Schizosaccharomyces pombe: one gene and its partners. Changing the gene in region 1 together with any one later gene gives a genetic interaction. Each region holds a gene or a part of one and is shown on either strand. Other genes may lie near its edges. The genes, in order: pfd5, fin1 and air1.

Region 1 (3,755 bases):
ATTGTACAAATGCTGGACAAATTGCTCATTTATCCTTAGAGTTAATGAGAATTTCTATTTGGATTGGTAATTATTCTCATGTACTAGCCTTCGGGTCTCGCGCCAAGTCTACTGTTAGTGCAGCCATGGAGCTAACTAGTCCTATTTATGCATACTGTGGATTGGCCAACTTTTGCTTGGGTGATTACGAAGAGGCCCTGGCTCATTTTTTAAAAGTTGAAACTGATACCTCTGATGGTATTATTACAAAAACTGACATTTCAGTGTATATCTCACTTTGTGCACTAGCGTGCTGGGATCATAAACGTCTGATTCAAGAGCTTGAAAGAAATGAAGAGTTCAATGCTTTGTCAGATTTAGACCCTTCCCTGAGACGTTGTTTGCAAGCGAAATGTAATCGCAAATATAGTCTTTTGCTTGATACATTACAGCAAAATGCTCAAGACTATTCTTTAGACATGTATCTGGCTCCTCAATTGACAAATTTATTTTCCCTTATTCGGGAGCGTTCACTTCTTGACTATTTAATTCCTTACAGTGCTTTGCCGTTCAGCAAAATTGCAGTTGATTTTCATATTGATGAGAACTTCATTGAGAAAAATTTATTAGAAATAATCGAAGCCAAAAAATTAAATGGCAAGGTGGACTCTCTTCAAAAGGTAAGTATAATAAATCTGCTATATTGGTCTAACTTTATAAGCGTGTTTATATCGAACCTTCTTCAGAGCCTGAAAACTTCGAGGACATAAAAAATATCGCGCAAACTAGTTTGCTTTACAGCAAGGCTCTTTACTTACAAACATTGGCGGCGATGAACACTGAAAATACTGACGACGAAGCTCCAGTTATCGCTCAAACGAACATTACCGCGGAAGATTCACAGAACTAACAAAAAGCATGCACATCATATAATTGGTTAATCCTTTACTTACTTTTTTTGAAATTTCATTAATTATTTAGCTTATGAAGATTTAGTTGCAGCTGTTGTAGCTGTTGCCTTTTGTTGCATAATGTTTTGAACGGCTACAGAGAATTAGCAAATTGTTGATAATAAGATAAAAATTGATCTGTACTGTAAATGCTCATACCTCTAATTTGAACTGATTTTGCGTCAATGGCATTGTTGAGGTTCTCGATACTGCTGGCGAGATATTCACATTTTCTTTTATAATATTCGGTAGCTTCTCCAGCGGACTAATGTCGTTAGGTTTAAAAATCTCTTATATATTAAAAATACCTTTTCAACGTAATAACCAGTCCCAATATCGACCAACAATTTACTGTTTCCTAAATTCAGCTTTCCAGGAACATACAAGCTTGAAGTCAAAGGTACCAAAACCTCCTTTCCTATTGACAATAGTTAGTGAAACATATGCAAAAAAAATTTCAGTTTGTCTATACCATCGTTCTCAGCCCGCACAGCATCGTTAACGTTTGCCAGGCATTCACGAAATTTCAATTGAGCACGTCCTAGTTGTCCATAGGAGGTCGATAGATACTCTAGCTCAGAATCTAACTGTTTTATAACTTCTGATAATTGCTCCAAGCTGAGAGAAGTCAAATCGACCGCTTTATTACCTTCAGCCATTATTACGCTTCTATTAGAACAGTCAAGATACGAAGGAACTGGTAGAAATTCCAACGCTGCACTGCATTAAATTACAGGTACATGGTAATCCATTTCAATATACAATCAGTTAGTTGGTTGAAACAATATTTGTTTTAAACAGTTATTCAGAATTATACCAAACAGTGAAAGTAGAATCGAATATGTTATTGAGCAGAGGGACGCTATAGAATATATCAATATAGATGATAGATTTTTCAATAATTAATAAATTATGAGCATGAAGATTAACAAAATTTGGGAAAATAATACTAGTTAGGATGCATTATAGTGCCATTGATTAGAAGTTTAAGTATAGCTTTTTAAGCATCATTTTTTTTGTATGGATCAAATTGAAGCAAATCTTTATCGTTTTCTACAACATCACCAACATCATCTTCGGTATCTGAAGAATTTGAAGGTGTTTTTTCAGTCGCCGTAGTTTCCGATGTGGTAATTTCAGAAGTAGTATTTTGATTGCTAGTACCATTTGCGGTACTTGGACGAGAAGCGGGTTTATGCCCACGAAATGTTTTACCAATCCTATTGGTATCAATTACCAAAGAATCCAATAAACCTCTCAAACCTCCGGTGGTTGATGATTTTTCTTGGACTGGAGCTAAAACGATAGAGTCGGCGAGTCCTCCAGAAAATAATTGCTCTAATAAACCAATTGATAAAACAACCATTCTAAAAGTGGGAAGACTAACTTTGATATCACTATTAGCACCAACAGAACGGTTTTCAGAACCAGTACTGCTCATATGGTCGCTTATATCAATCAACGTATCAGAATGACCATCAGGACTAGCTTCATCAGCAAAATGAAAGCAGCGTTGTATGAATTCGCTAACTGCGGATAGATACTCATCACCCATAAACCTAGTTAACCAAAGAATAGCTTCTGAAACCTTCAAAACGTCTGGTTTATCCATAAAACCATCTCCATTAAAGTCATAAAGCTCGAATATAAAAGATATATTGCGCATTACATCCCTAAATTTCAATTCTGCAATACCGGACACCAAATCCTGTAAAGATAATGATCCAGTCATGCTTTTGTCAAATCGTAAAAACAAATGACGAAGAAAGGATGATGAATTATTGATAGCCGCTGCATCCAAACCTTTCGCCCATTCAGTAACTCCTGCTAAAAATATACAAAATTCGTCAAATTCCAACCGTGTATCAGTAGAGCTGCCTAATCCAACTCGATGTTTGGACGACAATACTTCATGATAACGGTCGTAAATATTACTTAAATCCGTACGTGTTAATGTACCGTAATTTTGTAAACTCCTAATTTGTGTTCTCTTTGCAAATGACTCAATAGAATTCATAACTCCTTCGTAATGTTTTTTCCTTTCATCTTCAATTAAAGAGTGTGTTATATGGCTAAACTTCTTGAAAGCAGTTACCAATAAAAGTTGAAACTTCGTGATAGAGGCAACGCGTTTATCTGTTGCATCTTTATAAGCCTTATCTCCCAATGATGAAAAATAATTTTTTAAAATTGATATCAACATAGTGTCTTCTGTAGCCTTCATAATTTCAGCTTCGTTGTCATATAGGATAGCCATTCCAATTTGAAACAAAACCCTTGGACCCTCTAGAAAGAAAAAGTCTAACAACCTAAACGCATACGGTAAAGGCATTGTGCAAAGGAAAAGCGACAAAAACCACGGCAAAGAAATGATGCTAAGTTGAATGTCTTTGCTTACAAAATGCGCATGTAAGTTAGGCATTGAGCGTTGAACCAAACTTTCGTAAACTTGTTGATCAATTAGAGTGCCGTACATCGTCTTTGAGTAATAACCCGGAATGTAATCTTCACAAATCTTATGCATCAGAAAAAAGGTTTGTTCCTCGGTGCAATGAATTAAAAGAGCAGCTGCAACAATATTCATTGCCTGACAATAACCAACCTCTTGGTTTTTCCAAGAAAAGGCTACTAAAACATTTCGCAAAGCGTTGATACCTTCTTCATTTTGATAAGCAGGATATTCTGGAAGACTTCTACCTAAATCCTTTTCTATTTCCTCTAAAGAAAAAGATGTTTGACCAGAATACACTTTAAGAAGATGATCATATTCATCTGAATTCTCTAAACGAAAGTACATGGAGCCTGATGTAAGCTCCCATATTTCAC
Region 2 (3,755 bases), on another chromosome or scaffold:
CTCTGCTTGATAATTCTTTACGGAGAGTAGGTCTTTTCAATATCGGTTGTTGTGTAGTTAGAGTGAAACCCGGACACGATAACGTTTGCAAGGGCTTGCTAATTCCTAACTTAGGAATATGAAGTAGGGGGGATTGTGATGCTTCAATTGTACAATCTACAAACATCTCAGCGGTACTGCTTTCAGGTTGTTCATTATGATCCACAGGACTTGTAACACGCATTTTCTGCATAGAGTTTACTACGGTTTGCATGTGTCTTTGATAACGAGCATCCATGTCACGCAGTTGCTTTTCCAACTCACGTCGCAATATCTCTTCACGTTGGGCTAAGCGAGAAGCTATAACGTTTTCGAGTTCACTTTCCCGAGCAGAAAGCCTTTGCTCGCGAAATTGGAGATCATTTTCCAATTGAATAAGCATCTGATGTTTTTTATGAAGCAAATCGCTTTGTTCCAAGACTACTCTCTCGGATTCCAATTTACTACGAATATCGGATAAAATAGGAGAGCGAAGTAGCTGGTAAGTAGTAGGTCTGAGGTCTGAATTAACTTCTAAGCAATGCCTGATTAGAAGGAAAACATCGTCGCTGTAATGATGATCCCAACAGGAGAGATTACCCTGGCAAATATTACGTTGCAATTCCAAATACGACCTTCCTTCAAAGGGATGCGTAAGCATGCAGATCTCAAAAATAACACAGCCAAGAGCCCAAACATCAGACTTCGCACTGTAAGGGCTGCTCCGAATTATTTCAGGAGACATATAGTATGGAGTTCCCACGTAACTCTGTGTGAAGACACGCGTATTGTCCAGCAATTTGGATAAACCAAAGTCTCCTAACTTAACTGAATTATTTTCATCAAGAAATATATTCGCAGGTTTGATATCTCGATGCAATACAGATTGTTTAGGATGAAAAATTTCTCTTGGCCACTGTGAGTCACAAGCAGGCGCATTTTCTCCATAATGGCAGCGATACAGAGCAAGTAGTAATTGCGTAAAAAATTTGAGAACCTCTTGCTCGGTAAATCTCTTTTTCTCTTCTTTATAACGTTGAATAAGATTGGCTAAATCACCATGACCACAATATTCCATATAAAGGTTTATTACCTGCGCAGAACGATTCAATTCTTCTCCGCAGTATTGAACAATATTTGGATGCTTAAGATTACGAAGAATATTCACTTCATCTGCGATGTACTGCTTTTCCTGCCGAGTAATGTTACCAAAGTGTATTTCCTTCTGAGCCAAAAGCTAAAAAGTATTAATAACTATAAAAATAAATTGCTTTCAAACTTACAGCACCATCCTTTAAGCGTTGAACCTATAATAGTTAGCATAATGCATAAAAAAGGAGTTGCAAAAAAAAATATCGATCAAAGTTTCAATTTGAAAAACTGTTTTGAATAGAGTACAAACAATAGCGAAAAGCATTTAAATCAATATAGTTTCCCTGTTTCTTAAGAAAACAATTGATTCAATGCTATAGATTCATTTGCCAACCACAAGTAGTTGCTCGCAAATAAACTGAAAACAAGAAAGAATTTTGCTATCCAATAACCAATTTCAGTGAAAATAAGATTAAAACTTACTTTATAAATCCTTCCAAAACTCCCATGTCCAATACACTCAAGAATCTTGTATTTTTCCATACTTCAGAACAGAAGTAGCCCATGAGATTCAGGTAAGCTTAAAATAAAACTAAATTTCTCGGTAGGACCTTTAAAGAAAAAGAAAAATTCTTCTATCAATTAATAATATAAAAAATACTGCTTGGAGTGATTGAGTGCTAAGTATATGAATTTCAAGCCAAGATGTTTATGTTTGGTTCTTCTGCAGTGTCTCGTTAAATCATCAAGTGTAAACAATGTTGCCATGGTTAGGAGTAACACTGTTACTTCAGGTGCTTATTGCTACGATTATAATATATATCCAGTCGCATTTTAATTTCTGTAAGAAAAAGATACGCTATTCAATAAGCAATGAGAAAAAGTTGTGGAGAATTTTTATCATCTATAATGCCTTTTATGACATGATTGTATAAGGTTTGTTGTAAATGAGCTTGGAATTTAACAGAGTCCTTTAAATCAAGTTTTAAAAAAATGAATAGCTAAACGTATTAATATTAGTTTGAGGCTTTCAAAAGATTTATCTGCATGTTTTATAAAAATCAATAGCATTAACAATAAACTGTTATTTTGCGTTAATTGGTTTTAGTGATCTACGCTAGGCTTCATGATTCATTCCATGCAAGCCATCTCCTTCAAATGAACTTACCGCTAATTTATATACGTTGCAAAACATATGTTACACAACAGTCTATCACAAGACTCTAGTAATATTGCCGGAAACATGTCTTTTGGGGGAAGTGGTTCTATCACGAATCGATCAACCTTAAAGCCACTTTCTGTCGATGATTTACGTTCGCCCTCTCCTCAAAAAGAATATCGTGGATTTCGAACATCTGTTTCTAACATTCCACAAGAAAAAAAATTTGTTCCCAGTCATCTTTCACACTTTGGATCAAGTCAGCAGCGTCGATTTGCCCCAGAGGTTAGCTCGCCTTTAGCAGAACCATATGAGTCATCGTAAGTAATTTCTTTGAAGAGTTTAAGGGACATTTGAAGACGGAGGATTAAAAAATTGTTTAGTATAATTGCTTTTTTACCTAATATCTATCTATATCCAAATTTGTTAGAGCTTCAGCCTAATCCCTATGAATTTTTAAATATTAGACATAAACTCTTAGAACCTTTACTAATTTTCTCTAAATAGCTCTTCCTTCCGTTTATCTCTCTCGAGTCCCCCTTCTTCAAAATTCGGCGGACCCAGCTTTGGTACACCGAAACCGTTTTTGCATACAAATCGTTTAGGTACCGGATCTTTAATTGAAGATGCTCCTCCTACTCAATCCATTTATGACTTTTCTTCCTCTAGGCAAATTAATGCTCTCAATGTTGGACAAAGTTCTTCCCCTTTTTCTCCTGTCTCTGAAAAGGTATACGACCCTTCTTTTACCATGTCTGGCGCTCCTCAAGATTCAAATACCTCCGTTATCGTTTTCGGTTTCCCACCAGAATTGACAAATCAAGTAATAGCTGAATTTTCTCGTTTTGGAACTATTATTAGCGAGAATTCATTAACTGCTTCAAGTGCCGGATTCACTCCCTCCAAGGGTCCCATATCTGGTAACTGGCTACAATTAACATATGCTGAGCCTTCTTCTGCTGCCAAAGCAGTTTTGTCTAACGGAATGTTGATAAATGACTCTTTTATGGTTGGATGTATATACAGCCCCGCAGAAGCGAAGGAGCATGTTCCGAAAACGTTAAGAAACAGCAATAAAGACTTGGAAATGACGGATGCCTCTTCCTCCGAAACCTCAATGTCTATTCCCGTGCATGCTGATGCCCATTTCCAATCCCAATCTGGTCTTGGTAAAAAAGTCATTGTTCAACACAAAAATGATATTTTTAAATCTTCTCAGAAACATCAACCTCGTAATTGGTTATTTCATTATTTATTTGGTTTTGGTTCAACTGAGCCAATAGATGAGGAAGAAAAATCTAAAACTGCTTCTGACAACACTTCGCTTCAAACTTCTCTATTTGGAAAAATTGTTCAAGTCGTATTGCACACATTGTTTGGGTTTTAAACTTGTTGCTCAATTAATTTGGATGTTATGATTGCCAAAACTTGGTTATTTAGTCGATCCTACAGACAAAAAGCTTGAAAGGTTTTCATATGTACAGTA
Region 3 (3,684 bases), 3.0 Mb from region 1:
TCTTATTTGTATCAGATGAAGATGAAGTTGCACTGTCAGAAGCCGTTTCATCACTGACAAATGAAGGATTAAGTGCGCAGTGAAATTCCTTTCCGAACTTAAATTTCTTGGTACGTGTTGAGTCCCTTAAGACTTTACTACCATTAGACTTCAGTAAATAATCATTTTTCTCTTCCTCATCCTTATCGGTTGAAGTCATATACCCATGGTACCTCTTTCGAGATTTGTGTTTTAACCATACTCTTAAACAAGCTTTTCCATTTTTATATTTATCAAGTTCATCTTTTTTTATCAATGCTTCAACACCCGCCAAGAATTTAACACTCAGTGTGCTGTCATTTTCGTGCAGTATTTTTTGAACGGTGGTTTCAGACGCGTCATAATAAGGTAGTAAAACATCAAGCGGTTCACGACGTACTACTATTTTACATAAAGAATCATCTTCTTTTGGCATGCTTTGAGATGAATATCTAAATATTCTTGGTAAATACTGTGTATTTGGAGTTGTCCTTAAATTTCACTACGTAACGCAAAGAGAAAGAATTACCAGTAGTAAACGGTTATAAACAATAGCTATTATACAGTACATTAATAGTAACAAACAAGTTTTAATCTTTTAGATGTCATTTTAAGCACGTACAAACCTTTGATGACTTCTTTGACCCTGATGGTGGGTTTTAGTAAAATGGTTATTAGCATTCGAATGAGTACGCGCGCGTTGATGTTCATTTGTCTGAGGAAGAGATTGCTGCTGTTGTGTAAGTTGAGTGTTAGAAGAAGCTGTAGTCTGGGGAGCTGAAAAAGCTACTTGGTTTGTTAAATTTACAGCAGGCATCATAGGGACGAATGCAGCAGCATTCATAGCATTCATTCCTTTAGGAGCCATATAGGTATTTGCGGATACAATGTAGGGCGGTGGTGGACATCCTAAGTTAAAGACATTATATTTGGCTAAAATTCGGAATATTAGACTTCGTATTCAACAAAAGTATTATAAAGTAATAACTTACGAGGAAACGCATAAGCATAAGGAAGGTCTAGCGAACCATTCCCCTTTTTTAAAAATCCAGAGGATGCCCTTTCTTCAAGTTGTTTTTGGGCTTCTTCTTGAGCTACTTTCGTATAGTAGTCCTGAACATTTTGTATATGGGCTCTTCCAGCATTGTGTGCTTTTCTAACTGATTGGCTATCATGAGTGAGCCAAACTTGGCAGTAATCACACAAATCTAAGCATTAATTAGTTTTCAATTATTGTTATTCATCGTATCATACATCTTGGCATTTTAGCGTGTTTGGCTGTTGTTGAGTCTTGTAATAAATGTGAGCTGTGTTGAAACGCTAAAATGATTTAAAAAGAAATTAATGTCAATTAGCAACAACTATACAAAGAACGTTCATAGTTAAACATTGAATGTTAAATTACTGTTTATCTATGCTTTACAAAGTGTTGAAACGAAGCTCTCGAATTTTCAACTACTTTAAAATCCAACGCCTTGAAGAGTCGGGAAGGTGCAATCATTTAATATTTTAATATAATTAAGTTACTGCTGTACTTTCAATATCTCTTCACGATCAGGGCTTTTAAGTACCAGACATTCTTGGTTATGCATTAAGTGTTGCATTTGAGAGAACAATTGTAATTTGGAGTATAAGTTATTTATTGAATTTCATTTATTGTCATGCTCATTTCAATGAAATAAACTTCTCATGAGAAAGCCAGATATAATCCATGTAAGGTGAATACTCACACCTTAACCAAAAATTTTTTGCCTTTACTGAAACTATTAAATTTCCATTTGATAGTTAAATACTTGAAGTGTTTTATGTTTTATTTGCTTTTAAACTGTTAAATTGATTGGGAATATTGTGAAGTAAACTACTGGCCGGCTGTTAAGTGTTAAAGAAAACTGTGCTTGCCATTATTACATTGCTTGTCAATATATGGACATGACTGTTTCAAACCAAAAAGCAGAAAGTGATGATGGTTCAGACATCGACGATGCGGCCTTGTTACAAAAAATTAATTCTTTACCGATTGACCAGAGTATCACAAATTCGGTGAGCTTGGAAAAGCATGATTTTCAAGGAAGTGATGACCATGACTCCTCTACGGATCTTTCCGATAGTACTTTGGAAGATGTGGAAGGAAGTGAATGGGCAGACGTATGGATTGAAAAGTTTTTTTTTAATACTTTTTACTAATAAAATTTAGGTGAGCAGGGGTAGATACTTCGGGTCAGATCCCTCAGAAAGTATAGTTTGCCATAATTGTAAAGGGAATGGTCACATATCTAAAGATTGTCCTCATGTTCTGGTATGCATTTTGATCGGACATTGTTTTTTTAATAGTGTTACTAACTGTATTACAGTGTACGACTTGTGGAGCAATTGATGATCATATTTCCGTAAGATGCCCCTGGACTAAGAAGTGCATGAATTGTGGACTACTGGGTCATATAGCTGCGCGATGTTCGGAGCCGCGAAAAAGAGGACCTAGAGTTTGTCGGACTTGTCATACCGATACTCATACTAGTTCGACGTGTCCTTTAATTTGGAGGTATTATGTCGAAAAAGAACATCCTGTTCGCATTGATGTTTCTGAGGTTCGAAAGTTTTGTTATAATTGTGCATCTGATGAACATTTTGGAGACGACTGTACTCTTCCATCTAGATCAAATTATCCTGAAAGCACTGCATTTTGTGAAGCGAACTGTCCTTCTGGAAATGATGCATCTAACAAGGAGTTTTTTGAAACCCGTCGTAAAGAGTTTCAATTGGAGAGGCGAGAGCAGAATCGAAATCAAAAATCGTCGAAACAACGGCCTTTTCACAAACCAGGAAATTCTCTAGCATCTAGGCTGGGATCTAAGCCAAAAAGCTTTAAAAGAAAACATAGCCCACCTTCTGAGGAGAATGGCAATTTATCCTTTCATTCTTCAGATGGAAGAAAATTTACCAAAACTTCAAAAAAAAATCGTAAACGAAAATGGTAATTCATGTGCTGGTATTATTCATCGCATGGTGTATCGCTCTGCTCACATTGCATTGCACTCATTGATAATACTATCTTACTAAAATTTATTGGCAAAATCTAAAATATATGTACATTAATTTTATACACTCTCATTTGCTATGTTCGCAAAATTTGTAATGTTATTGACCTCCATCATCAAAATTAAATACAAGCTATGATAACGGAGTAAACCATAGTTAGAAAGCAAAACAAAAAAAAACAACCAAAATCGAAGATAACAAGGCAAAACAAACAAATTTGCTTTAGGGTAAATAATGACAAACCGCCCACCAGAGTCTAAAAGAATGTGACACGATAATTAACGCAAGTTTAAATAAGTGTTACATCTGACTCTTACAAAATAGCTGTTTTTAAATTAATCAAAAAAATTTATGAAAGGCTTTCATGCAAAATAAATTGGTGAAGAGCCTTACCACCAGGGACAAATGGATACACATGTTCCTTTTGGGCAACCAAAACTTCCATAAGCACAGGACCTTTAGTTGACAAAAACTCCTTCATTTTTTTAGCCAAATCTTCTCTCTTTTCTACACGTAGTGCTTTGATGCCCATAGCGTCAGCCAACTTAACGAAGTTGGGATTCTTTTGATGAGTATGAGAATAGCGTTTCTCATAAAACAAGTTTTGCCATTGAGTGACCATGCCTTGCT

The links.
Region 2: mutations in pfd5 (region 1) and fin1 impair growth when combined (synthetic growth defect), as found in Schizosaccharomyces pombe (2 studies listed by BioGRID, with this or other methods).
Region 3: mutations in pfd5 (region 1) and air1 together harm fitness more than expected from each alone (negative genetic interaction), as found in Schizosaccharomyces pombe (2 studies listed by BioGRID).

The regions. Positions count from the first base shown.
Region 1 is NC_003423.3:4,025,251-4,029,005, reverse strand, and holds the start of pfd5 (prefoldin subunit 5), read right to left. Parts: upstream 1,601-3,755; 5' UTR 1,589-1,600; coding exon 1,402-1,588; exon of another isoform or gene 1,348-1,401; coding exon 1,238-1,347; exon of another isoform or gene 1,195-1,237; coding exon 1,089-1,194; exon of another isoform or gene 1,024-1,088; coding exon 962-1,023; 3' UTR 890-961; coding exon of another isoform or gene 701-889; 3' UTR 660-700; coding exon of another isoform or gene 1-659. Other genes in the region: COP9/signalosome complex subunit Csn1, read left to right, coding at 1-659, 701-889; SPOM_SPBC215.01 (GTPase-activating protein), read right to left, coding at 1,930-3,755. UniProt on the Schizosaccharomyces pombe protein: Binds specifically to cytosolic chaperonin (c-CPN) and transfers target proteins to it. Binds to nascent polypeptide chain and promotes folding in an environment in which there are many competing pathways for nonnative proteins.
Region 2 is NC_003424.3:1,352,258-1,356,012, reverse strand, and holds the start of fin1 (NIMA-like serine/threonine protein kinase Fin1), read right to left. Parts: upstream 1,793-3,755; 5' UTR 1,654-1,792; coding exon 1,594-1,653; intron 1,326-1,593; coding exon 1,302-1,325; intron 1,256-1,301; coding exon 1-1,255. Other genes in the region: nucleoporin Nup40, read left to right, coding at 2,354-2,589, 2,777-3,656. UniProt on the Schizosaccharomyces pombe protein: Promotes chromosome condensation and nuclear envelope dynamics during mitosis. Activity appears at metaphase-anaphase transition.
Region 3 is NC_003423.3:978,838-982,521, reverse strand, and holds air1 (TRAMP complex zinc knuckle subunit Air1), read left to right. Parts: upstream 1-1,753; 5' UTR 1,754-1,941; coding exon 1,942-2,163; intron 2,164-2,212; coding exon 2,213-2,314; intron 2,315-2,369; coding exon 2,370-2,993; 3' UTR 2,994-3,164; downstream 3,165-3,684. Other genes in the region: SHREC complex ATP-dependent chromatin remodeller Mit1, read right to left, coding at 1-454; U1 snRNP-associated protein Usp103, read right to left, coding at 629-951, 1,011-1,226, 1,273-1,282; ilv1 (acetolactate synthase catalytic subunit), read right to left, coding at 3,404-3,684. UniProt on the Schizosaccharomyces pombe protein: Component of the TRAMP (TRF4) and TRAMP5 complexes which have a poly(A) RNA polymerase activity and are involved in a post-transcriptional quality control mechanism limiting inappropriate expression of genetic information.